7 linked regions of the Macaca mulatta genome follow. The protein of the gene in region 4 interacts with the protein of the main gene of each other region in a pairwise test. Links are inferred from orthologs where the notes say so. Each region holds a gene or a part of one and is shown on either strand. Other genes may lie near its edges.

Region 1 (3,500 bases), on a different chromosome or scaffold from region 4:
TCAGGTGATCCACCTGCCTCGGCCTCCCAAAATGCTGGGATTACAGGTGTGAGCCCTCACTCCCGGCCCAAAGCCTAATTTCATCCATGCCATGCTACCTAAAAATGAAGCAAGGCATAAACAGCCCTGAGGATGGTCACCATCTTATGGAAGTAGACACTCTTTCAGTTCATCAATCTTTGCCTTACCTGTCTCAATGCTCCATAAGACTAGGCTTAAAATATGGCAGTTGGACATATTTTTCTCCCATGGTTTTCTTTTTCTCTAAAATAAATAGGAAACCACAAGGGAAAAGTGATGGTTGTGGTTAAAAAAAAAAAAAAGTTGGAGAGAGGGAGATTGCTACTGATACTGACTACTTCATATGATATGTACTATAGATTAATAAAAATTTACTGATTGGGCCGGGCATGGTGGCTCACCCCCGTAATCCCAGCACTTTGGGAGGCTGAGGCGTGTGGATCACCTGAGGTCAGGAGTTTGAGACCAGTCTGGCCAACATGGTGAAACGCTGTCTCTATTAAAAATACAAAAATTAGCCAGGCGTGGTGGTGGACGCCTGTAATCCCAGCTGCTTGGGAGGCTGAGGCAGGAGAATCACTTGAACCCAGGAGGTGGAGGTTATAGTGAGCCGAGATTGTGTCACTGCACTCCAGCCTGGGTGACAGAGCGAGACAACCTTTAAAAAAAAAAAAAAATTACTGACTGTTTCAGCATCACATATGGCATATATATAGTAGATAAAATTTCCTTATTCTAAATGTTCTAAGGCCAGGTTTGAAGAAGACACTTATCTGTCTAGCTTATAGAAGTTTTTGGGGAGTTTACCGCAAATATCTTCAAGAGCCTATAATGTACAAAATACTGTGCTAAGTGCTTGGAGGATATGATGATAAATTAGAGCTTATAGACCATGAGCAGAGACATACAAATCCATAAATGGCAGGCATCATAGAAGGCCATAAAAGATGCATGCAGAAAAGAAGAGGGAGTCATTAATTTGGAGGGATATGGGAAGAGGTATAGGTTGTAGTTTCTCTTTGTTCATTCCCCTGTAAGGGTGGGCTTAGAGTTAATACAAAGGGGCCAGGCAAGATGGTTCACGCCTGTAATCCAGGCACTTTGGGAGGCCGAGGCAGGCAGATCACCTGAGGTCAGGAGTTTAAGACCTCTGGTCACCTGAGGTCGGGAGTTCAAGACCAGCCTGGCCAACATGATGAACCCCTGTCTTTATTAGAAATACAAAAATTAGCTAGGCATGGTGGCACAAGCCTGTAATCCCAGCTACTTGGGAGGTTGAGGCATGAGAATCGCTTGAGCCCGGGAGGCAGAGGTTGCAGTGAGCTGAGATCGCACCACTGCACTCCAGCCTGGGTGACACAGTGAGACTTCATCTAAAAAAAACGCATAAAAATAAAAACACAAAATTAGCCAGGCATAGGAGCATGCACCTATAATCCCAGTTACTCAGGAGGCTGAGGCAATCTTGGCTCACTGCAACTTCTGCCTCCCAGGTTCAAGCAATTCTTCTGCCTCAGCCTCCCAAGTAGCTGGGATTATAGGCACCCACCACCACACCTGGCTAATTTTAGTATTTTTAGTAGAGACGGGGTTTCACCATATTGGTCAGGCTGGTCTCTTGGCCAGGCTGGTCTTGAACTCCTGACCTCGTGATCCGCCCGCCTTGGCCTCCCAAAGTGCTGGGATTACCGGCCCGAGCCACCCTGCCCGTCCTCCGTCAAAGGTTCTTACCTTGTAAGTGACTGAGTTAGAATTTCAGCTGTATCTCAAGTTGCTGGGCCCAAAACTCATAGAATATTGACATTTTATCAGTTATAAAATGCCTCCATGTACAAGCACTGCTGGGGAAGGTAATCACCTCTATGTGGAGAGGGGTTTACACACAGTATAGGTTGAATACCAGCTTGTTGGGATGTTTTAGAGGAGATTCAAACGTTAGCTAGTTGTTGGATGGCATGGTGTTTAAGGTCTTTTCCAACTTTTTGATGCCATCATCAGTATTTTGTTCAAATTTAAAAGACACATAGATGTTCTCTAATCTTGATTAAACAATTATTTTATTTCAGTGAAGAAAATATTTGGAAGCTCTGTGAATACATCAAAAACCATGACCAGTATCCTTTGCAAGAATGTTATGCTGTCTTCATATCTAATGAGAGGAAGATGGTAAGTTGGTGAGTGAGTGCAGGAAGAAAACGAGATTTAACATGACATTAGAAGCTAAATTAAATTTAAAAAAAGAAGCAAAATATAGCATGGGTGTAGTACTCTTCTGAAGTGTGCTTTATAAAATACAGCAACATTTAAAAGTTTTCTTTTGAATGAGATTTTTTTCCTTACAAGGCATGATTGAGTTAGATGAGTTGAGTCCCTTCTGTTGCCCAGGCTGGAGTGCAATGGTGCAATTCTTGGCTTACTGCAACCTCCACCTCCCGGGTTCATCTCCTTCCTCAGCTTCCTGAGTAGCTGGGACGTACAGGCATGTGCCACCACGCCAGGCTAATTTTTGTATTTTTTAGTAGAGCTGGGGTTTTGCTATGTTGGCCAGGCTGTTCTCGAACTCCTGGCCTCAAGTGATCCTTCCGCCTTGTTCCCACAAAGTGCTGGGAGTACAGGCGTGAGCCACCATGCCCAGTTTAGTCCCTTATTTTAGGTAAGGAAATTTGTGATGGTCTACACAGATTAAGTCCCTTTTCTTTAGGCATTAATGTAGACCTGGTTTTTTTTTTGTTGTTGTTGTTGTTTGTCTTTTATTTTCTTTTTTGATACGGAGTCTCGCTCTATCGCCCAGGCTACAGCACAATGGCACGATCTCGGCTCACTGCAACCTCTGTCTACCAGGTTCAAGGGATTCTTGTGCCTCAGGCTCCCGAGTAGCTGGGACTACAGGTGCCCACCACCATGCCTGGCTAATTTTGTATTTTCAGTAGAGACAGGCTTTCTCCACGTTGGCCAGTCTGGTCTCCGACTCCTGACCTCAGGTGACCTGCCTGCCTTGGCCTCCCAAAGTGCTGGGATTACAGGCGTGAGCCACTGTGCCTGGCCATTTTTTTTTTCTTTTTTTAAATTCAAGATGGAAGATGTAGACTTTTAAAAAATTGCTTAGATATGCATACTCTCAGTTTTAAAATAAGGATTTGTCTCTGGAGTTTAAATAGAACTACAGTCAACTTATATGAGGAATTAGAAAAAGGAAGCCCTTCGTATTTTGTAAAACACGTTTGCAGGCATCATCTCATTTGATCCCAATGGAAGCCCTGTGAAGGCAGGCAAGGTTTGGACAACTTGCTTCATTTTATAGATGAGAAAATTAAGACTTAGGGTGGCCCTATGAATAATTAAATGGGAAAGCAAGACTTGATACCTGCAAGGACTTCTGATTCCTAGTTCAGATCCCTTTTCACTCTCTGAAGACCATCATACAATAACTTGTGCTCTTGAGAGCTTTCATTCTTGGGGATACTTAGAAGGATTTAGAT
Region 2 (3,469 bases), on a different chromosome or scaffold from region 4:
AGCAGCCTCCAGCTTTCCCTGGCGCCTATACAGAGCTCCCAGGTTTCTCAGAGTAGTGTTCACGGTGGGGCTGTGGTGAGAAACAGACCAGAGAAGGAAGAGAGAATGGGTTCAGAAAAGAAAACATTTGTCTTCCAAGCAAGACAAGAGGAAAAAAAAAATAAGAAAATAGGAGAGGGAACAGAGCTAAAGCTCAGGGAAAGTCTACGGGAGGAAGGGAAAAGGTCTGGGAGGCCGGGAGCCTGGATGGAGGGCATCAGAGGCCAAGCTGGCTTTTCACTGGCAGCTCACCTGCTCACTTTGCAGGCCTTGTACCAGCCTCCATACTCAGCATAGGGTGTGCCACCCTCATGGTGCCGGCTCTGCAGGACAGAGAGAGGCCAGAGAGAAGGGCAGGGAGAGCCAAAGATAAGAATACAGAGATGCTGGGATGCACGGTGGCATGGGGCTAGGGTGCAGGCTGGGCTGGGGAGGACACCATGCATCTGGGGCTGGTGCTGGGGTGGGAAGTGTGAGTTGGGCTAATGGAAGGAGTAAGACAGAGACCCTGGTAGCCTTGAGCTCCCCAGGCTGGCCCCCCTTCCCCCCACTCACTTTGCTCATTTCCTCCCGCTCCTCTGCATGCATCCAGATGGGCTTGTGGTCATCTGGGGGTGATACACGGGGTGGGGAGGTTAGAGATCGGAGCTAGACAGTGTCGGAGAGCCAGGACCCAGAGGCTGACAGGCTGGACTGAAGGGGTCTGGCTCCCCCTGGGAACCACTGTGGCCTAACCCCCGACCTTTGGTCTGCATTTCTTTTCTTTCCCACAGCCCCTTCCCCAAGCCCTCACCACTCACCATCCACAGACCCAAACTCCTGCACATGGGCACGGGTCAGGATCTCTTTGTATAGTGTCTCAGCCTCAGCATATTTGCCCTGTTTCAGGTAACAGGAAGCCTAGAAGACAGAAAGGCAAAAATACAGGAACAAAACATGGAGGGAGGCAAGGTCTTTTTTTTTTCTTTTTTTCTTTTTTTTTTCCAGACAACGTCTTCACCAGGCTCAGGGAGTTCCACTTCTCGGTGTCTCTGTGACTTTCCCCAGAGATCTTTCTCACACCTCCTTCTCCAGGTGCAGGGTCAAGGGTATTCCCAGCCCACTCTCAAGAAGCTGTGGAGCTTCTATAACCAGAACGAAGCAAATCCTTCATCCGCAAAGGCAGCCCCAGAAATGGGCACAAACTTGATGAGAGTAGTGTGCCAGATTGTGATGCTTCCTAACTCTAGGACCCAGGTGGCCTCTCCTTCCCGTTCATTCCACCTACTTTGTCCCCTCCTCCCATACCAGGTTGTTCTTGGTCCGGGCTACATTAGGGTTGTCTGGCCCCAGCTGCCCCTCGTAGATGGCCAGTGCTCGCTGGTAGTAGCGTTCCACCGCCTCATACTTGCCCTGGTTTTGGCACAAGAGGGCCAGGTTGTTCAGCTGCTTTGCCACATCTGGGTGATTAGTGCCCAGGACCTGAAAGGGAACAAAGGAGTGGATAAATGGCTATGATTACATGTGTGTGCACAAGCACACGTGTCTGCTTGCATGTAGGCACACACATGTGGAAAGCAGAGGAACGGGAATGAAGGAAGAGAGAACAAGGCAGAGATGGGGGTGAGAAAAAAAAAAGTGAAAGAGGAGTGTTAGACCAGAGAAGCCATGTAGAGAAGGGTAACAGCAACAAGGGAAGAAGGGAGAGAGGGCATGGGTACCTTTTCTCGAATCTCCAGTGCCCGCTGGCACAGAGGCTCTGCCTCCTTGTATTTGCCCCTTTTGCCATAGAGCACAGCCAAATTGTTGAGTGTGGCAGCCACCTATGAAGACAGGCCGGTCCCCATCAGACATTTGGGTTGCAAATGACCTATGGGAATCTGAGGTTCCCCACCTCCCAGCAGGGCCCCACAATCACTGCACAACTCTAAGAGACAAAGACTCTACTACCCTGGAGCCAGGGGCTGAAGGGAGGGGAAACCGCTCAACAGGATGGCTCTGAGGCTAAGGGATAGTATCGCCCTCTAGGGGATTTTAAGAAATTTCTGGAGGTGGTTTTTTTTTGTTGTTTTTTTTCCTTTTTTTTAGTTGCCATGATGATTACCTTTGAGGAGGCAAGAACGCTATAGATGTTCTGCATGTGTGAGACAGCTCTGCCAACTTTTGAATGTCCTGCCGGACATCCAAACACTAAATGTAAGCATTGATATTTGATGGGATATCAAGACAGGAGGATGATTTCTGAGATACATCATCCCTGCCTATCATATGTCATACCATAGGGAATTATTTTCACACAGATCACGTTCAAAAATAACTTTTTGGCCGGACGCAGCGGCTCATGCCTGTAATCTCAGCACTTTGGGAGGCAGAGGAGGGCAGATCACCTGAGGTCAGGAGTTCAAGACCAGCCTGACCAACATGGAGAAACCCTCTCTCTACTAAAAATACAAAATTAGCCAGGCGTGGTAGCACATATCTGTAATCTCAGCTACTTGGGAGGCTGAGGCAGGAGAATTGCTTGAACCCGGGAGGTAGAGGTTGTAGTAAGCCAAGATCATGCCATGTTGCACCCTAACCTGGCAACAAGAGTGAAATTCCATCTCAACAAAAAATAAATAACTTTTCAGCTGGGTGCGGTGGCTCACACCTGTAATCCCAGAACTTTGGAAGGCCGAGGTAGGTGGATCACTTGAGGTCAGGAGTTCACGAGCAGCCTGGCCAACATGGTGAAAACCCATCTCTACTAAAATACAAAAATTACAGTAGCATGCACCTGTAATCCTAGCTACTTGGGAGGCTAAGGCAGGAGGTTCACTTGAGCCTGGGAGGCAGAGGTTGCAGTGAACCGAGATTGTACCACTGCACTCTAGGCTGGGTGATACCATGAGACTCTGTCTCAAAAAACAAAACAAAAAAAACTTTTCATTTTTCATTTTCTGTACATTGACAACTCTATCATTTGCTTTGGTGTGATATCCCTACCTTTTTTTTTTCCTTCTTTTTTATTTTTTTGGAGACAGAGTCTTGCTCTGTCGCCCAGGCTGGAGTGCAGTGGTGCAATCTCGGCTCACTGCAAGCTCCGCCTCCCGGGTTCACGCCATTCTCTTGCCTCAGCCTCCCGAGTGGTTGGGACTACAGGCACACGCCGCCACATCTGGCTAATTTTTTGCATTTTTGGTAGAGACAGGGTTTCACCATGTTAGCTAGGATGGTCTCGATCTCCTGACCCTGTGATCCGCCCAACTCGGCCTCCCAAAGTGCTGGGATTATAGGCATGAGCCACTGCGCCCGGCTGATATCCCTACTTAAGGTTGTTTCTCTCTTTCCTTTTATTTATTTGTACTTATTTATTTATTTATTTATTTTGAGAGAAAGTCTCGCCCCATCACCCAGGCTGAAGTGCAGTGGCATGATCTTGGCTCACTGCAACCTCAGCCTCCTAGGTTCA
Region 3 (4,025 bases), on a different chromosome or scaffold from region 4:
TAGCAGCTGAAACGTAAATGAAGATGAGAACTCAGTCTACATGACCTAAGATTTCCCACAAGTCCAGATATTTAGGTTACGCAGACTGCATTATTGTCCGATTTCTCCTCTGCATTAATCTGGAAGTCTACAGAACAGATTAGCACACAACAATCTTAACTAAGCTAGTATCCAACTCTGAAGGAAGGCGAAGCTGGTGGAGGGTTTCCAAGACTGCTTATCCTTCTCTGTCCTTCCTCCCATACCCTCCTTATGTCTTTTTTGGTTTTTGTTTGTAAAATTTAAAAATATTTAATTTTTTTAAATGTATTTTTAGTCACAAGAAAATCAAAGAAGCCACCCATTTCAGTCTTAAGCTCTGCCCTTTGCCTAGTCCTAATGGAGGGTTCTTTGGCCATCTATGTATAAAAGATGAGAGAAGCCAAAGAGACTGGAGAACCACCACATCAATGGGAGCTTTTTCATCTAAAGGTCATCTGTCCACACTGTCCAAATGAGGTTTACCCTGTGAAATAAACTTGGCATAAGTGCTACCTGTTGAGAAAAACAGTGTGAAATGTCACGCAAAGGACTGGGGTGCAGCAGGAGGACTCTGAAAAAGTCATACGTGTAAACCAGCAGGTCTTAGAATGTTCTAATATACTATATGCAGTTTCAGAGTAAACAAATGGTTAATGACACATCTTTTGTAACACATGAATCAGCTACTGATTTGCAAGAGTGGGACACACCCTAGTACCTATGACTCTAAAGTACCTGTTTGAAAAGTGGACCTAGATGTCTGAATTGCCAACCTATCCTAAAATTGGAACAGAATTTTATAACTATGTAAGTTGCCATAATTTAAAGTTAAAAAGATCACTGCCTTTCATTATAATGGAAGTTAATTTGAGAACTTCATTAAAACGTTCACACCGATAATCAAAGAACAGTAGCAATGCAAAGTAAGGTACAGCCAATCAATCCTAGGAAGCAAACACAAGAGGCAAGAGAAATGGCAGGTAAAGGAACTGAAGAATAGCAAATTCAAGAATTACAAGCATTACAAAGTTCTAAAGAAAAATGAATAAAATGAGGCTGGTAATGAAAAAATAACACATCTTACCTTAAGAGGCATCCAAATAGCATTCATAGTGTCAGGATATAAAGACAATACTCAGAAATGAGCAAGAAGTCTTAGTAATTCCCTCGGTTACCAAGTATGAGCAGGTAGGAAAATCTTTTGTTTCGATAAGGTATCTGAAAGAGAGGATTTTCATTTAGACTAAAAAATAATCAAGAAAATGCAAATAGTTTAAGCTACATGGGCAGGGATTTTGAAGTACTATTTGCCTCATCGCACTAAAAAAGTATAGAAAATACAGTCCCCTTTAGAAAACGGCAAATGTGTGTGTGTCTCCGTACATATGTGTAGAAACATACGTTATATAAAAAGAGAAATAAATATGTAACACTTACTTTAGATAATGTAAAATTGCTTATCAAACAGCCAAAATCCCAGAGAGAATAAAGTTTCCAGGGTACCTCATAAACACTAAACGTGATTTGTTAACTAACCATCTAAAAAAAGACCCTTGCTACATTTAATTATATTTAGTAAAGTAAAACCTCTCTAATCATCCCGACTGTCCCAAGATTATGCTTAAGTTTCAGAGTCAATTCCACATGAAAAGTAAAACCTATTCTTGACTGAAGTACTAGAAACAAATAAAATACCCTTCTTCCCCAGAGATCGTTAAAAGCAGACCGAGCAACTTAATTTTGAGGGTAGGAGGAAGGTAAATTTGCCTGGAGGCTGGAGGATGGACTAAATGACCTCTAGTAGGATCCTCGTTCAAGTCCTGGGCCTGAATACAATTCCAGCTTAACCAGTTACTGCTTCGCTTAAAATGGAGGCTTGCCCGCGTAGGGACAAAAATAACAGCACCCACTTCGTTAAAAACAAATGTCGAAAAGTACCCTTATTTAAATAAAAATAAAAAATAAACACCTCTGGAGTGGATGTGTTCTTGCTATGCGTTTGTCACTGAGGCTTCGAAGACTTGGCATCACTTTCCTTACCGCTCACCGGATTTTGGGGGAGGAGCGGGGGGCGGCAGTTTGACTCCTGACCCAAGTCTCAGGCAGGCTTCAAAGCCCCACCAGGGCCCCCAACTCCAGAGCCAGAGGGAGCGGAGAGGCGAGAGCCCGAGATCGCACCTCCCCCCACCGCGGACCCCAGTCCCAAACCTACCCCTCACCCCTCCGCAGTGGGGCGCCTCCTTCTGCCCCATTCCCATTGTTAGGGAGGGGAGAGCGCGGGGTGGGCTCAGGGCAGGGGCGCCCGCGGCCGTTGCCCGGCTCGCTTCAGGAGGGGCGGCCCGCGGGATGCGGCTTCCCTTCCTCTCCGCGTCGGTCCGTCCCACCTCGGCTCGGCCTGGCGCCCCGAGCTCCGCTCCGCGCCCCCGGCCGCGGCCCCGGCCCGCCCCCGGGGCAGCCAGGCCCCCCGGCCACTCGGTCGGCAGCCTGCGGCCCAGGCCTACGAGTGGGCGCTGGGCGGGGGTCCCCGTGCCCCACACACGCGTCCCTCCCCGAGCCCCGCCGCTTCCAGGGCCCTCGGCGGCGCCCGCTCCCCGGGCCCCGCCGCCCCCCGCCTCCCAGCCGGGCCGCTCCCTCGAGCTCGTCGTGTCGGGGCCGCCGCCTCTACCTCACCATCACCCCTGTCCACTCGTGCCCCCACCCCCAGGGGCACCAGTGCCAAAGACAGCTCCCCCAGCCCCGGACCTACCTGCACGGTTCAACCAAGCCTAGAAGTGGGGGCGGGGAATCTTCCGCCCTCCTCTGGCGTTCATTGGCCCTTCAGGGGCATATCGTGAGCGCCATTGGCTGAGCGATAGTGTCCGTCAGAGAGATGGGGCGGGACCGAAGGGGGAGAGGGATGCTGGTGCCTCGGCGTCTCTGTCTCTGTGTATCTCGCTGTCTCTGTCTCTGTCTCGGCCCTTGGAAACGAGAGGCTTTTGGATGAGAGGACTAGAAGCGGGCCTGAGGTGGGAGGAATAGGAATAGGAATCCTGCCAGAGCGTCACGCCAGTTGGCCACTCTGAACCCCCTACCTAAGTCCCCTTTAGGTTCTCTTCTCCATCACCCCCAACCCCTGCCCCTCACCCCTCGAGGTTCCTTCATCCAGGAAGCGACGTGATGAAAACTCCAGGCCGGAAGGCCATAGGGAGAGATGTTATATATGTATAGAAAATATACACATATAAATATTTATATATAAATTCAACCAGATATCAGTTCACTAGGGCCTGGAAAGGAAAGGGCACACATCTCACAGACAGGGAAGGACTTGAGATAGAGCCGGCAGAAGAAGGAATCAAAAATCACTCTTAAGAGCTGGCAACAGTGGTTACCTCCTGGGAGGGGAACTGAGTGCCTAGGGAACCAGTGGGCGGAAGACTTACATATCTCGGCGTATCCTTTGTATCCATTGATTTTTGCACCATTCATCAAGATTCCAATTTTTTAAAAATTGATTTAAAGGTTTAAATAAGGTCCCAAAACCAGGGGACAGATAAGATAGTTGGCCAGGAAAATTGGCACAACATGCAGATTTGGGGAGGAATCTTAGCTTTTAATATATTCAGTTCCAGGTAACAGGGTTTTGTAAAACCCAGTGAAGGTGTCCTAGAGGCAACTGAAGTTACAGAACTTGAGAGAGGGTAGACAATCAGGACTAGAGACTATGTGGGGTCCTCTGCCTGAAGATAGTGGTCTGTGACATGCTAAACTCCCTAAGCAGGGTAATAAGACACCCACGGTAAAAGGTAGGAGAACGAAAAAGAAGGTCAGTGAGGTAAAAGAAACAGAATATTAAAGAGGCATGAAAATTAAGGAAGGAAGGGTCTGTGGAAAATAGAACAATAAAACTATGAGAGAGGACGGGCGCGGTGGCTCATGTTTGTAATCACAGCACTTTGGGAGGCCAAGGCAGGTGGATCACCTGAGGTCAGGAGTTCCAGACCAGCCTGGGCAGCATGGTGAAA
Region 4 (2,757 bases):
GGAGTTCAAGACCAGCGTGGGGACCATAGCAAGACCCCAGCTCTACTAGGACATTTTTTGAATTAGCCAGGCCAAGTGGTGCACACCTATAGTCCCAGCTACTTGGGAGGCTGAAGTGATTGTGCCACTGCACTCCAGCCTGGGCAACAGAGTGAGACCCTGTCTCAAAAGAAAAACTACATGTCATTGACAAATAGCTATTGGCCACTATAAGAAACCAGGCCTTGTTCCAGGTGGTGGGGGCACCCTGTTGAGTCTCGCTGGAGGACCAGAAAGGTTGAAGGCAGCGGTTGTGTATAGGGGTGGGCTACAGGACTAGGGTGGCCACGGTTGAGCCCCAGCCTCCCTGCCTGTCTGTCTCCTGTTGCAGCATCACTGCCGTGAGGCTCTCGGATGGCTTCACCTTTGTCATCTATGAGTTCTGGGAGACGGAGGAGGCATGGAAGAGGTGAGACACTGGGTCTCCATAGCAGGTGTGGGGGCTGTCTTCCTGGAGCCAGGAGCTCCTGGTGGGTAGAGAGACCCCCCACCACGCTCTTTCCCTGTAGAGCACCTTGTGGGCCAAGGCACTGCCTTCTTTATCACCCTGTAGAGCTGAGGACCTGACCTAGAAGGTACCTCAGTCCCCATGTGATCAGTTGTTCCAGCGCTTAACCTCCCCCCCAGCTGAGTGCCTTGTAGGAGGGAGGGAGATGGGGTAGGGTGTCATCAGCTCTGATGGGCTTTAGGCCTTTGTCGTCTGCTCCAAGCACATCTGGGACAGGTTGTTCCCCACTCTGGGCGGAGCCTAATTTCTGATGCGCCAGACCCCACAGGCAGGAAGCAGGGCCTGGGGGTAGCTCATGCCCCGATATCCTGCTTCCCCGGTAAACACAGTTTGCAGAGAAACTCAGGACCCCTGTGGGAACAGGGGCTGTCATGAGAAGTGAGGGTGTCCCCTGCCTGTCCGTACTTCAGTGACTCATAAAATGAGGGACTAAAACCCTTCACAGCTGCTGTGTTGTCATCCGTCCCAGGCGGAGGATGGCCCCACTCCTCCTCCTAGGGTAAAACAGGAGGTCGATGCTCTGTGCACTGAGTAGGGGGATGCCACTGCCCATGTAAGGCTCAGTGCCTACCCCAGAGTCAGCCTCCCTAGGCACCCCCTCACCTTCCCACAAAGGCTTGGAGTCCAAAGACCCCCCCCCCCGGGCTTATTTATAAGCTCCCCATTTTGGGCAGAGCTAGGATTAACAGGGGATCCACATGCCAAGCTCCACTCCTGGTGCCCCTAACACATCTCCCTGGATCGCAGGCACCTGCAAAGTCCCGTGTGTAAGGCGTTCCGGCACGTCAAGGTGGACACACTGAGCCAGCCTGAGGCCCTCTCCAGGATCTCGGTGCCAGGTAGGGGGCGAAGGCCTGGAACTGCAGTGGCCACTTGATTGGAGAGCCGGGCAAGAGCCTAGAAGCCACCCCGCCTCTCCCAGGGACTTGCCTGCAAGCTCCTGACCCCAATGCCAGGTGTGCAGGGAGGGTCCTAGGGGGAGAGGAGAGCTCCAGGCTCAGAGCCAGCCCTGAGGTGGCCCCACATCCAGGCATGCCGGCCGGAGCTTGCACCAGAGCACCCCTTCCACAGCCCGCTACTTCTAGCCAGACTGAATTTCCCTTCCCAGGTGTGTGGTTTGCTCCTGGGTGACCAGCAAGCACCCGTGGGTCACATAAGGACTCAAAGCCATCTCCCCACCTGCCCTTCAAGACGGCCCCCACCAGCTACCCACATTCGCACTCCTTCCCTCTAACCTGTCTCTGTCCTTCTAGCTGTTTGGTGCACGGTGGGACGGGACTGACAGCCTCCCAGAGGCCCGCGGAGGAGCCCACCCCTGGCCCCTTCTGCTTGTGAAGGACATCCCCTGTGTTCTAGAAACTGGTGCAGAGGCTGTCTTTTCAACCCGTCTTCCACACGGTGTTTCCCTGCTGTGACGTGAAGGAGGCCTCCCCTGCCCCCACCCGAGAAGGCAGAGCAGTCTCTGTGCTGCCCGGTCCTGGTGAAGCCCAAGGTTGTGGGTGAAGGGGGCGGCTTCCTGGGGCCAGCACCCCCACCTCCTGGTCCTGGCCTCTCCCCGACCCCTCAGACGGCCACGCATGACCCGCACTCACCACGCCCTGCCCTCTTCAGTGACATTCTTCTACCTGGTAGGAGTTAGGACCCTGTAGTGCCCAACCTAGCCAGGCCGCCGCCACTGGGCCCAGGCGCCGAATAAACCCTGGTTGGGAAGGGCTGTGTGCTCTGTGTCTGTTCCTGGTTGACAGCAGCAGGGGCCTGGGCACCCTGCAAGTGCCCCCAGCCTCCGTTTTCTGAACCATAAAATGGAGGTGTTCACTCTATGCGGTATTTTGACACATAGGCTCATGCCTATTCAGGAGCCCAGAGGGCACCACCCCCACCCTCAGGTCAGTAATTCACTCAGAGGACTGGGCGCAACTGTCAAAGTCAAGGTGGATGACAGACAAAATCCAGCAAAGAAAGAGGCTCCCGGAACAGGGGCCAGGCAGGGGCTGCCAGTAAAGGCCACAGACATCACTGAACCCTCCCAGCTTCAACAGACAGAGCATCACCAACCAGGGATGCAGTCCCAAGTCTTACTGGGGTTCGGTGACATAGACACGGCTGACACCTTGTGGCTCAAGCCCCCACCATAAGTCACATGGTTGGCACAGACCACGCAGTGTGGCCCAACTAAGACACTCACCAGGCACGATGCTCCAGGGACGGGC
Region 5 (4,053 bases), on a different chromosome or scaffold from region 4:
ATAACCACTGTTATCAAGTAGTATATATCCCTCTGGAATTGTTTCTGTAAAGTATAATTCTATGTTAAATTTATTATTATTATTACACAATTGGGATCATACTGTACATGCAATTTTGTATCGATTCTTGTCACTTTATATATGGAATATTTCCCATATCAAGATATAATGTTTAAATTGTTGCATAATATATCAGATATATAATAATTCATGTAATACTCTCTTATTTGGGAGCATTTAACTTTTTTTTTTTGAGACAGTTTCACTCTTGCTGCCCAGGTTGGAGTGCAGTGGTGTGATCGTGGCTCACTGCAACCTCCACCTCCTGCGTTCAAGCAATTCTCCTGTCTCAGTCTCCTGAGTAGCCGGGATTACAGGCATCCGTCACCATGCCCAGCAAATTTTTTAAATTTTTAGTAGAGACAGAGTTTCACCATGTTGGCCAGGCTGGTCTCGAACTCCTGACCTCAGGTGATCCACCCATCTCAGCCTCCCAAAGTGCTGAAATTACAGGTATGAGCCACTGCACCTGGCCAGGGAGCATTTAAATTGATGCAATTATTTTCTTTTACAAGTAACCCTATAAAATGTAATTTCTTGAGTATCCCTAATTTTATGCTTACATCCCCAAAAGTACAATTTCTGAGTCATGGAAAAAGTTTTTCATGCTTATTGCTGAATTGAACTCTAAAAATTTTGTACTAACTTAACACTCCTACCAGAAGTATATGTTCATGACCACAGAAATGACTTTTTAAAACTAAGATGTGAAAATATCTTAGAAACAAACTCTAAATAAGGAGAAAAAAGTTGTATATAATTTTCTACTTATGAGGTGAATAATTTCATTTTTTCTTCAAAGGTGTCAGGAAAATAGAAGGACATTTTGGTAGAGTGATAAAAGGGCCAGATCTTCTAATTGCTTAATCTTAATGTTTCTGAATCTGTTTCCTCATCTATAGTATGAGGAGAATAATTTCCCACTTAATTAGCGAGGATGCAGTGAGATGATGCATGTGAACATGGTTTGACAACTATGTCATATAGATGGAAGATATAACTTTTATTAATCACTGTTTATATGTGGACAGATTTGATACTCATTATACTGTTTTTAAATGTCCATAACTTTAAATATTTTATATCAATCTTAATAATAATTTTCTCCATTTTCAACCTCATGTGATCAGAAAAGTCAATTTTCAATCAATTCTATTTGTTTTTTGAAAAAGTAAAATAATGATTATGCTACATAGAAAATTATAGTTCAGTTGCCAATTCCATTAACTTAGTTTGTCTCAGAAAAGGAAAAATTACTATATAAACAGAATTATCTATTAAGAATTAATATTTAATCTAAAAATGTCTAGTGCCTCTACAGAAAATTTGAGTACATTCTCAACTTCCTTAAACCAGTGCCTTTTTCAAATTTCTTTTCAAAGTTACACCTGTCAGTTTTCACTAAAAAATAGTTTGAAGATTATTTTGAATAATTATAACCAATGAAACACAAAGGCAAGAATAGAACTATTGCAGTGGGCCCTTGCTGAACCTGAGCTAGCACCTATAATGAGTCAGTCCTCACTGAAGGAGGAATGAGGAGGGAAGAAGGACTAGAAAGACAGAAAAGAGGCAATCATAACTTAAGAAAACACTGAATTTTTAAAAAGATAGTGGCTGGCAGAGTACCTTAGACTTGTACCCAGGAGGGCGTTAGCCCAGTCTGTCTATCACGATTGCCCCAGGAATTCTAGTCATTGTACTTGGGCAAGAGCTTCAATTTTTTAAGGCACTTGCATTTTATGAAACGTTAGTGTTTGCAGGTGTCTTGGCTAAATAATTTAGGGAATAAATTTTAGGAGGAAGTAGCGGCACAGAAGGGGAGAGAGAAACCAGGCAGGAAAGAAGAAAATAAGTCTTTCTGTTCCCATTACTTTACTTCCCATAGAATTATACAAGGTAAACACACACACACACACACACACACACACACACACACACACACACACCCCTTGTAGGGTCATTGAGAACCATCTTTCTTCATTTTAAAACTAAAGAAACAGGTCTAGGTGACACAGATGAAGCAGTGGCAGAGCCAGGAAAATAATCTGACCCTTGTCCCTGTTCTTTCCACCGCACCATGGTAACTCCCTTTTTTGTGTCTTTTTTTTGTTTTGTTTTTAAACACTCTAAAACTGAGGATCATTTGTAGTCAAAGAGATCAATGCTATTCTCAAAACAAGTTCTGATCTCTCATAATTTTCTTGGTAACTCAGAATCAATGTTAAGTACGTTGAAATAAAAATGCAGTACTTTACACGGTAATTTTGTAGACTGTGCACCACGTTCCCATCCATTTTCTTACTTGATCCTTACAAAAACCCTTTGAGGCAAGGCAAGGCAAGTATTATTATCTTCATTTTTAAAGTGAGCAAATTAAAACCCAAAGAGTAAGGTCACTTAGGGTCAGGAAGGAGCCAGTACTCTATTCCTATATTTGAAATATAGGAGGGAATACACTTCCAAAGAGGCAATTCCCTCAAAAAGCACCAAGAGTAAAGGCTCTTTACTCTCTTGCCAAGGCATTCTCTATCCCCTGGAGACGCCTGCACTAGGTTAGTGAAGCATGGGTCTTGACACCCACAGAGGTTACTCCTAGTTTGCACCTAGTTGTCATCTTAAAAAGCGCAGTTTCTTACCCCTTCCCTTGGTCCTGATCCTTATTTTAGGCTTTTTGGGATTTGGCCTCCTGGGTCTCACTTCGAAGCTCCACCCTCGCCAAACAAGAAGTCGCGTCCTTGGTATCCAAGGTGACCGCGCAGCTTTACCCACGTTGCCCCTTTCGTGCTTTCCATTGGCCAGTTGGACTCCTATGTACCGCCCCTCCAATAGCCAATGGTCTTGAGGCAAAGGGCGCCCGCCTTTCCCAGGGAGTCTAACACATGCCCTTTTACCCGGGCTCCCCTGCGCATTGCCTCCTGGGATATGTGGTTTCTAAGATGCCAGAGCTCTGCGATGTTCCACCCCTTTACAACTACCTATCCCGTCCGCCTTAGCGAAAGGGGCGGGCGTAGGCTAGGAGTCCGGGTCAGAGTTTAGAGCTTTCAAATTGCAACTTGCCTCTGGGGCTTGCGTGGCTGATGTTTAAATTGCCTAGTCAAGCGAACCGGCTCCCTCTTGCTTCAGCAAACCCTGACAGACGTCTCCTATTTGACTTGAGGCGGCATAGTGGCCAAGTCGATTGGCCGTGGCAAGTGACCCTCCCTGTAGCTGAAGTGTTCTAAGGACTGGAGAGAGGGGCGCGCCATGCTTGCCCCCTGCTCAGGTTGGGAGCTTGGCTGCCTCCGTCTCTGTCTCCGTCAGGTCCGATTGTGGGCTGGCACTGGGCGCTGGGCTTCCTGGGCTTGCCAAGCCAGGCCGTACGGCTCAGGTCGGGGCAAGCCCTGGCCCGGATCGGAGGCTGAGGTCCCTCCGCCTGGCCCGGCGCGCCGGACTCTAAAGGAGTGGACGCTGCAGGTGAGCCCGTTCGGTCGGCTGCGGGCGCGGCTCCCGTGCCACCTGGCCGTGAGGCCCTTGGACCCCCTCACCTACCCGGATGGCGACCGCGTGCTGGTCGCGGTGTGTGGCGTGGAGGGCAGCGCGCGGGGCCTGGACGGCCTGCAGGTGAAGTACGACGAGGCTCTGGAGGAGATGGCCATTTTGTCTGACACTATCGACCCCCAGGCGTTCGTGGAGGTGAACGCGCCCCTGAAGTTTGGCAAGTGAAATGAAGTGAAAACGGGTTTGGGTCCCAGGGCACGCACAGTGAACTTACTAAATTTGGTCGACTTGCACTTTTAATTGGTCCTGGCTTTCTAAACCTAATTTACAGTTGGCACCTTCGGAAATGCACCTTTTCCTCTGTTCTATTCTTGAGTATCCGAGTAGTATTTAAAAATTAGGTTGCCTAACTAAAAATTTGTTATAGAAATTTTATACATCGAATGGAAACATGATTTGGTATAATCCAGGTCAAATTATATTTCTGGAGCCGCTTGTGTTCTCCTTTATCCC
Region 6 (4,139 bases), on a different chromosome or scaffold from region 4:
CATTGTTCAGAGGAGAAACCAAAGTTCAGACAGGTTAAGTGGCGGGTGCCAGGTCACACAGCAGGCGGCAGGCAGAACTGACACTCGAAACCAAGTCTGCCTTGGTCCGAACTGCCTTGGAAGAGGGTGTGAATAAATGCCTGAATGAATGAATTCTGGCCCAGAGCTGTGGCGCTGGCGGCTGGGCCCTTCCCCAGCCCCGGCCCCCCTTCTTGTCTGGTCTCAGGATAAGCAGACGTTGCCCATTCATCACTTGACAGGAAGCAGCCTGATCTCAGGCCAGAGTCATGGGGGCCTGTCGAGCTGGAGGGGACAAGCCACAGATGGTGTCTGGTTTCCGGCTGGGTCCTGTGTTCCTTCACGCTCGCCTCAGCCCTCCACCCGCAACGCCATTCATCCCACCCCGATTCTGTAGCTCCATGACCAGCGGAAGCCTGGCTTCTCTACGGTGCAGGGACGCAGGACCATGAGCCACTCCTGGAAGGTGGCCATGCAGACAGGTTCCCCGCTGCCCCCTTCCTCAGGGTGGCGGGGCCTCCCCCAGGGTGGGCCTGCAGGATCAGGAGGCCAGCTGATTGGGGGCCACGTGGTGCCTACCCAGAAACAGGGCCGCTGTAGCTTCCAGGACCCACCCTGGTCTTCATCCAGTCCCACCCATTGTTCCTCCAAATGTCTTCACTCACCCCGGGGCCTCTACCCTGTGCTGGCCTTGTCCCTACAGTCACCTTCAGCCTCCAACTCCCCTCCAGCCCAACCTCCAGCCCGCCATGGAAAGGTTTTCCTAACACACAAGCCTGAACCTGCAGATCTCTCCCGAAACTCCACAGCACAAGGTCCGCACACTGGAGGAAGCCATTCCCTGACCACCTGGCACAAGCCTGCCCTCATGCATTTGCCCCCAATATCCGCCAGGCCCTATATGCAGCCATATTAAATGACCGGCCCCCCTCCCCAGCGACACAGCACCTGGCGCTTCCACGTCATTCCATGCACCAGCCCTGGACTAAAGACCCACTGGTGCTTCTCAATGGGCAAAGTCCCACTCATCTGCCAGGACCGGGTCTCTGGGCCCTCCTTCATCTCAGCACTCCTTTTTTCTTTTTTTTTTGAGATGGAGTCTTGCTCTGTCACCCAGGCTGGAGTGCAATGGTGCGATCTCTGCTCACTGCAACCTCCGCCTCCTGGGTTCAAGCGATTCTCCTGTCATTTGAACCTGCTTCTCAGAGTAGCCAGAGCAAGCAATTGCAGAAAGAAACTCAGCGCAAGCCCAGGGGCTGGAAGGACGACCACACCCAGGCAGACTGGCTGGCAGGGAGGACCTAACACACTAGTCAGGCTCCCGAGTAGCTGAGATTACAAGCGCACACCACCACGCCCAGCTAATTTTTGTATTTTTAGTAGAGACGGGGTTTCACCATGGTGGTCAGGCTGGTCTCGAACTCCTTACCTCAGGTGATCCTCCTACCTTGGCCTCTCAAAGTGCTGGGATTACAGGCATGAGCCACCACGCCCGGCCATAGTCTTGGCACTTCTTATGGGACCTTGGGGAAGTCCCGTCCCCTCCCTGAGCCTTAAACGTCCCCATCCACAAAGAGGAACAGCCCGAACTGGCAGGGAGGCTGCGAGGACTCTGTGAGTACACACTGGGCATCCAGGGGGCACTCAGGCCCCTTCTTCCCTTTCCCATCTGGTGGTATCTACACAGGTTTCTCCCTAAAGGTGGGCTGTTACGGGCACAAACCGCTTCCTTTGTCACCATGTCTGCCTCCTCGGCCAGCCTTTAAGGGCAGGGACTGACCTTTGTGGTCATCTCTAAACCTCCAGTGCCTCACCCAGGGCCTGGTAAAAAGTGGGCACCCAGGGGGGGTCGGCGGAATGAATCTCTGACCAGTAGGTGGAGGGGGCTCTTCCCATCCTCCTGCTCTTCCCACCCTCCTGCAACCCCAAGAAACCTCTGCTGAAGGCTCGGCATCCCTGTGGTCACAGATCAGCCAAAAGTCACCGGCGATTCAAAACCAACTGGGCCACACACTGCAGGGTTCCCAGCGCCTTTTTGAAAATCGAGGAGCATTGCAATCACCTTTCACTTCCTCCTCGGGTAATAAAACCCAATTGTGGAAGAAGAAAATGCAGGAGCTGTAAACATCTTGTCTCTCAGTTAAAAGAGCAACAAGGCATTTTGGCTTCTGCCCAGAAGGTTCTTGACTCTGGGACTTAGTCAAGGCTGGGTTCGCTCCCAGCCTCCCTGAAGACGAAGCTGAGATCTGTTGAGTGCTTCCTCTGTGTCGGGAACTGCAGGCAGCAGCTCAGCATATCCCTGCTGTGAGGTCTGCAAGCCCTCCACTTTCACAGATGAAGAAACTGAGGTGCAGGGAAGTTAAATGGCTTGTCAAGCTCATGCAGCTGAGAAGCAGCATGGCCCGTTTCTGAACTCAGATCCAACCCTCTCCAAAGTCTGCATTTGAATCGTTTGCCTAAGGTGATCCTTTGGAGATCACAATGCAGCTGGGGAAAGCTGTGGTCTCACTCTAGGAGTCCCAGGCCCGCTAGCAGGTCCTTCATCCCAGAGACCCCTGCCTGATTGGGGAAATGATCTTGCTCTCACCTCCAGGTCTTGGCAGGCTCTGCTCCTCCTGCCTGGAATGAGCTGCCTCCCAGCAAACTTCTCTCCTGGGCATCTCATCCAGGCAGCCTTCCTGGACTCACTCAGTCACTCCCAGCTCCACAGCCTGCTCACCCGTGCTGTCTCTGTCTAATCCTTGTGTCTTCTCTACTTGAACATGGAAATTTCCTTGGGGGTAGAGACTGAACAGCCCCAGCAGGTGGCAGAGGAGAGGCTGGGTAAGGGGCTGCTGACTTAGTACAGAAACACCTGAGGCCAGGAGGGAGAAGCCTGGCCCCCCAGGCCAACTCATGCCAGGGCGGGCCCCTGGGGAGAGCCTAGGGCTTAAGGGAAGGGATGAATTTCAAAGCAGAGACTCCTGTCTCAAACCGCAGCTATACCCTGCTGACCGACAGTGGAAGGAGGACCAAGTGGAAGGAGGACCAAGCGGAACAGCCCCGGGGCTGGAGGGCTTTGGTGTTCCCCATCCAGTGGCCTCCATGCAGGGAAAGCTTTCAAGCCCCTGGTCTCCCCTAATTTTGTCTCCTTCCTACAGGCAGGAAGGGGCAGACAAAACCCACCCTGGAGAAAGAAAACTTGCTTTTTCTGCTTCCCTGGAAACTCAGAAGTTCTGGCCAAGCGCGGGGATTACTGAACGTAAAACCAGCCATCAGCAGCCACCCGGTCCCAGGCTAGTGGCAAAGGTCCTGCCAGGCTGGTGGGACTGGCCAAATGGGCAGTGGTGGGTGGCAGAGGTGCAGCCAGGTCGAGGTACTTGGAGCCCCAGCCCTGGAGGTCCCTAGGGCCTGGTTCCCCATCCATCATTGGACACACCCCTGAGAGCAAGCGGCTCCCATAGCAGGAGGCAGAGAAAGTCTGGGTACCTTCTGAAGTGGCTCCTGAAAAGCTCCAGGGAAGGTCTGCTCAGCTCTGGGTTGAGGACGGACATGAGGTGCCGGTGCCTCCAGGGAGCCGGGTGGCCTCTCTGGGCTGGGCTGGGTGCAGGAAGAAGGGCCTCTGTCTCCGCATGGGATTTCCCCTTCCCAAGACTCCAGTCCCCAGACACCGCCAAAAGGAAACTCCCCCACCACGCACTGCTCTAAAAATAGCTCCGGCTGCCACCTCCAAGGCGAATGTAACTTGTCACAGCCACCACGGAGCCCCCTGCTCACCAGGGACTGGAATCGGATGGCAGTGCCACCCGATTAGACCAGTGTGGGCTCAGGGAGGGATAAGGGTCCTTTCCTTTGGTCCTTGTGCTCGCTCCCCACCTATCCACACCGGGGCCCAGCAAGATGCTGAATAGCATAACTGTTCTTGCTGTTTGTTTATTTATTTGAGATAGAGTTTTGCTCTTGTTGCCCAGGCTGGCGTGCAGCGGCATGATCTTGGCTAACCGCAACCTCCGCCTCCCAGGTTCAAGTGATTCTCCTGCCTCAGCCTCCTGAGTAGTTGGGATTACAGGCGCCCACCACCACGTCCGGCTAATTTTCTATTTTTAGTAGAGATGGGGTTTCTCCATGTTGGTCAGGCTGGT
Region 7 (4,222 bases), on a different chromosome or scaffold from region 4:
CACAGAAAGGAGGAAATGATAACTTAGGAGGCTACCGTAAATATTTCAGAAGGAAAGTCCTGAACAAAGCTGGTGACAAATACAAAAAAAGAGAGAATACCAAAAAAGGCAGAAATAAACCAAAAACGGGCAGGGCCTGGTGGCTCACGCCTGTAATCCCAGCACTTTGGGAGGCCAAGGCAGGCATATCACGAGGTCAGGAGTTCAAGACTAGCATGGCCAACATGGTGAAATTCTGCCTCTACTAAAAATACAAAAACAGACCGGGCAGTGGCTCACACCTGTGATCCCAGCACTTTGGGAGGCCGAGGCGGGTGGATCACGAGGTCAGGAGATCAGAGACCTTCCTGGCTAACATGATGAAACCCCGTCTCTACTAAAAATAGAAAAAAATTAGCTGGGCAGGGTGGTAGGTGCCTGTAGTCCCAGCTACTTGGGAGGCTGAGGCAAGAGAATGGCGTGAACCTGGGAGGTAGAGCTTGCAGTGAGCTGAGATCACACCACTGTACTCCAGCCTGGGCGACAGAGGGAAACTCAAAAAAACAAAACAAAACAAAAATACAAAAACTAGTCAAGCATGGTGGTGCGTGCCCGTAATCCCAGCTACTCAGGAGGCTGTGGCAGGAGAATTGCTTGAACCCAGGAGGCAGAGGTTGCTGTGAGCCAAGATTGTGCCACTGCACTCCAGCCTGAGCAACAAAGCAAGACCCCGTCTAGGGAAAAAAAAAAAAAAAAGAATAAACCAGAAACTGGTTGGCTCTGGACACAGTGGTCAGGTCAAGGTACCCAGTTAGCAGCTAGAAATGCAGGGAAGTCTGAAGGAAGGTCAGAGCTAAAGGAAGATCCTAAATCAGCTTCAGTGGATTATGGAAGGCAGGAAAGAAGACAATTACTAATTGGGAACAGAGAAAAAGATCTTCACAGATAGTTACAACCTAAGGCTAAAAATGTTAAGTTTACTTGAATTTCTAAGAAAAGTTCCTACTGATTTTCTGGATTTCACGTAACTCATAAACCAAAATACATTTTTTACCTGGTTGTTGCGGTTTTCCTGCAGCGGAGAAGTAGCATCATCAGGAAATGAGCTTACGTTTCTCCTCTTCAGCATCTGGTCATCCTTCTTAGCTTTCCTCAGCTCCACATTGACCTCTATTCTGCGACGCCTCATTTCCTTGAGAAAAGATAACATGCCGTTTCACCTATCACATCAGTTTTTGTTGCTAAGTGAGGGTATTTTTAAAAAGATCCCTAAGTTTTCACCCCTTTCCAAATGTCCTCCCATTTAAACACCACCACAGGAAAGCAACAGAAGGTACTCACTGTACTGTCTTTTCCCTTGTTCTTGAATCTGTGAAGACGGGCAGCTGGTGTATTAGCATTCTCATTGGTGGACATGGTTATGAGACAAAGGGAGAAAGCTAAAAGATGGGCGAGGAGAAAAAATATTTCCTTTATCATTTTCCTTTGTCAATAATAGTACCAAATAAGAATTGAATTATCAAGCATCTACTGAATCCACACCTGTATACTAGAGGGGGGATCATCATGCTTTCAGCACTATGAAATAGCTTTACCCAAACGGGAACTGTCCCCCTTCCCTCTGAAGCGCTGAGACTTCCTGGAGAGGGCTGTCCATCAGAAATAGAATGCAAGCTATATAAATTGAAACTTCCTAGTAGCCATACTTTTTAAAAGGCGAAAAGAAACAAGTGAAACTAATTTCAATAATTTATTTTACTTAACCCAACATATCCAAATAGTATTTCAACATATATATTTCAATATATAAAATAACTGACATCTTTTACATTCTTTTTCCATACTCTATCTTTGAAGTCTTTTGTGTACTTTAAGCTTACAGCGTATTTCAATTTGGACTAGCCACGTGTGTCCACCGTTTCTGACAGCCTGGCTCGATACTCCAGAGTCCCTAATAGTTAATCCAAGGCAAAGCAGGGGAACCAAGTTAACTTACAGCTAAAAATTATGTGCCAGGGCAATAAATTCAGATTCTCAGGAGGCTCGCACTACTTTACTGTCTTTACTTGGCCAAAATAGGTGCAGATTCGAAAACTAAAAAAAATTTGCTTCATCATTACATTATGGTCAACATTAAAAATGCAGTGCCGCATGTCGCATATTTGATTTGCATTTCCAGAGACTAGGAGCGAATGCACTTAATTAGGACGACATCAGCTGTGCGTCATTCAGAAGACGACAAAAGTCAAAGCCCTCCTTACAATTTGCTATCTTTGCTTTCATTACGCTCGCCTACGACTTGGTGGCACAGCCACCCCGGGGCCAAAGTGTCAGAGACAGTGCTCCCAACTGCCACCCCCAGCCCCTGCCCCTGCCCCTACGTCGGGGAAGATGCAACAAGAAAGGGGGAAGCGAGGCCAGGGCCGCCACGAGCCCTCCCGGGACATTCGCCCTCAGGCCTGGCTCGCTCCGATTCTCCCGGCCGCGACGCGTTATGGTCTCCGCTGCCGTTTGAAGAGCGTCGGCGCCCTAAACCCGCAGACCCCGCGAAACTCAGCCGCCTGGTCAATGAACCAGTCGCCCCCGAGGCCTAGACAACGCGGGAGGCTGAGCCAGGCTCGGCGTGGACCCGGGGCCTCCTTCCCCCCACCCAAAGGCGAACGCCGCCCGCGGGCAAACCGTTAGCGCTCGGGCCGAGCCGCCGCCTGAGTCTGTACCTGAGAAGCGGGCCCGGGCTTCCACGGGAGGCGATGCGGGGAATCAGCGGCTGTGGGACGGCTGCGCTCAAAGGGTCCACCTCGACTCAGCTCAAAGACCGTGTGGCTCGTGCAGCCGGCCGGCGCGATTTAAATTTCCCGGTGACTCCGCATTCCGATTGGCTGGTTCGAGCCCAAGCTGTGTGCCCATTGGTGGATTTGAAAAACACGTTGAGAGGGGAGGGAGTCATAGGGCTTAGGGGCGAGTGGGAGGGGGGAAAAAAAAAAAAAAAGGAGGATGGCATCGCGAGATGAGGGAGCAGACGGGCGGTTCCCGAGCGCCTGGCAGGGCGGAGCGGGAGGACTCCAGATCCCGTCAAGCAACGCGAAGGGGCGGTCCCTGGGCCTTTCGTGTTTCCACTGGGTTGAAGCGCGCATGGTCCCTGGGCGTTTTCCTGGGCGAGAGCCTTAAACAAATACCGCAAAATGATTCTCAAAGTCATTATTTTAAAAAAACTTTGTTGTTGATCTTCATGAAAATTAAAAAATGATAATTAGTAAATAAGTAATCTTTATAGAAAGACATATTGCTTTGCATTTTTTTCCTGTTACGATATCCGAAGAACTTGGCAGGGGTTTCTGGCCACTATGGGAGGGAAGATTTATGTTATATTTTTTAGTTTAGTTTTTTTTTTCAATTGCGTCGTAAAAGACTGTATAGAAGCCGCAAATATAGTAACAAAATATTTCTTATTCCTGTTTCTCCAAACACTCAAGTTTTGTATTTTTAAATAATTTCAAATGCAGCAGAATTGCAAATCCTTATCCAGATTTGCCAAATGTTAACACATTTGCTACTGCTGTCTCTATACATATATATGTATACCTATGCACATGTGTACCTATGTGTGATTTCAATATGTTACTTTTTGAAACATTTGAGAGTTTCAGAATCATGTCCTTTTTCCTCTGTTTCACGGTGTATCTCCTAAGAAAAGACATTCTCTTACATAACCACACTGCAGTCGTCAAATTCAGAAAAACTGAAATTTCATGCTGTTGTTTAGTATGTAGTCTGTGTTCAAGTTTTGTCAATTGTTCCAGTAACATTCTATGCTCGTTACACATTTCTGAATTTTGCATTTTTTGCCATATGCTCAAACGAAGAAACAAAACAAAGATGGTCAACAGAGCATCAGGATTATGGGCCATTTTTGTTTCTGCAATTTTTTTGTGTTCTAAAAGATTACATTTTAGAAAAGTTGTCATGGTTTATTTCTTACTATAAATAAATTCAAACACCAAATTTGTCCATTCTTGCAGTCATTAATGCCAGCCTCATTCATTGTATAGCAGCCAGAGTTCATAAAGGGTTGCACCTACTCTTAATCAGCATAATCCCATCCCCCTAAATGCAAGAATGTGGAAGGAATTCACCCCTAAACCAATCACTGTGAGGCATTCTCTCAGCTACTGAGAATGGTTCAGGGGCAGGCACATGACCTAAATTCATCCAGTTGGACAGCCCGTGCCTTTTGTTTACTGGT

Evidence for each region.
Region 1: the proteins of NECAB2 (region 4) and NTAQ1 interact in binary tests that used the Homo sapiens proteins (3 or more experiments, as listed by UniProt). The two-hybrid records come from large-scale screens. The link is inferred for Macaca mulatta from reciprocal best matches to the Homo sapiens genes NECAB2 and NTAQ1.
Region 2: the proteins of NECAB2 (region 4) and KLC4 interact in binary tests that used the Homo sapiens proteins (3 or more experiments, as listed by UniProt). The two-hybrid records come from large-scale screens. The link is inferred for Macaca mulatta from reciprocal best matches to the Homo sapiens genes NECAB2 and KLC4.
Region 3: the proteins of NECAB2 (region 4) and KANSL1 interact in binary tests that used the Homo sapiens proteins (3 or more experiments, as listed by UniProt). The two-hybrid records come from large-scale screens. The link is inferred for Macaca mulatta from reciprocal best matches to the Homo sapiens genes NECAB2 and KANSL1.
Region 5: the proteins of NECAB2 (region 4) and CCDC146 interact in binary tests that used the Homo sapiens proteins (3 or more experiments, as listed by UniProt). The two-hybrid records come from large-scale screens. The link is inferred for Macaca mulatta from reciprocal best matches to the Homo sapiens genes NECAB2 and CCDC146.
Region 6: the proteins of NECAB2 (region 4) and NEK6 interact in binary tests that used the Homo sapiens proteins (3 or more experiments, as listed by UniProt). The link is inferred for Macaca mulatta from reciprocal best matches to the Homo sapiens genes NECAB2 and NEK6.
Region 7: the proteins of NECAB2 (region 4) and KPNA2 interact in binary tests that used the Homo sapiens proteins (3 or more experiments, as listed by UniProt). The two-hybrid records come from large-scale screens. The link is inferred for Macaca mulatta from reciprocal best matches to the Homo sapiens genes NECAB2 and KPNA2.

Annotation. Positions count from the first base shown.
Region 1 is NC_133413.1:133,845,073-133,848,572, forward strand, and holds part of NTAQ1 (protein N-terminal glutamine amidohydrolase), read left to right. Parts: intron 1-2,087; coding exon 2,088-2,187; intron 2,188-3,500. UniProt on the Homo sapiens protein: Mediates the side-chain deamidation of N-terminal glutamine residues to glutamate, an important step in N-end rule pathway of protein degradation.
Region 2 is NC_133409.1:139,056,935-139,060,403, forward strand, and holds part of KLC4 (kinesin light chain 4), read right to left. Parts: intron 1,842-3,469; coding exon 1,740-1,841; intron 1,501-1,739; coding exon 1,327-1,500; intron 940-1,326; coding exon 840-939; intron 648-839; coding exon 595-647; intron 363-594; coding exon 292-362; intron 71-291; coding exon 1-70.
Region 3 is NC_133421.1:71,124,842-71,128,866, forward strand, and holds the start of KANSL1 (KAT8 regulatory NSL complex subunit 1), read right to left. Parts: upstream 2,801-4,025; 5' UTR 2,768-2,800; intron 2,417-2,767; exon of another isoform or gene 1,991-2,416; intron 1,240-1,990; 5' UTR 1,129-1,239; coding exon of another isoform or gene 1,106-1,128; intron 1-1,105. UniProt on the Homo sapiens protein: Non-catalytic component of the NSL histone acetyltransferase complex, a multiprotein complex that mediates histone H4 acetylation at 'Lys-5'- and 'Lys-8' (H4K5ac and H4K8ac) at transcription start sites and promotes transcription initiation.
Region 4 is NC_133425.1:79,364,322-79,367,078, forward strand, and holds the end of NECAB2 (N-terminal EF-hand calcium-binding protein 2), read left to right. Parts: intron 1-370; coding exon 371-448; intron 449-1,294; coding exon 1,295-1,386; intron 1,387-1,800; coding exon 1,801-1,829; 3' UTR 1,830-2,257; downstream 2,258-2,757. UniProt on the Homo sapiens protein: May act as a signaling scaffold protein that senses intracellular calcium.
Region 5 is NC_133408.1:142,434,930-142,438,982, forward strand, and holds the start of CCDC146 (coiled-coil domain-containing protein 146), read right to left. Parts: upstream 2,801-4,053; 5' UTR 2,700-2,800; intron 1-2,699. Other genes in the region: protein FAM185A, read left to right, coding at 3,307-3,757. UniProt on the Homo sapiens protein: Essential for sperm flagellum biogenesis and male fertility.
Region 6 is NC_133420.1:23,495,493-23,499,631, forward strand, and holds the start of NEK6 (serine/threonine-protein kinase Nek6), read right to left. Parts: upstream 2,801-4,139; 5' UTR 2,679-2,800; coding exon 2,606-2,678; intron 1-2,605. UniProt on the Homo sapiens protein: Protein kinase which plays an important role in mitotic cell cycle progression. Required for chromosome segregation at metaphase-anaphase transition, robust mitotic spindle formation and cytokinesis.
Region 7 is NC_133421.1:77,786,212-77,790,433, reverse strand, and holds the start of KPNA2 (importin subunit alpha-1), read right to left. Parts: upstream 2,801-4,222; 5' UTR 2,697-2,800; intron 1,419-2,696; 5' UTR 1,396-1,418; coding exon 1,321-1,395; intron 1,172-1,320; coding exon 1,034-1,171; intron 1-1,033.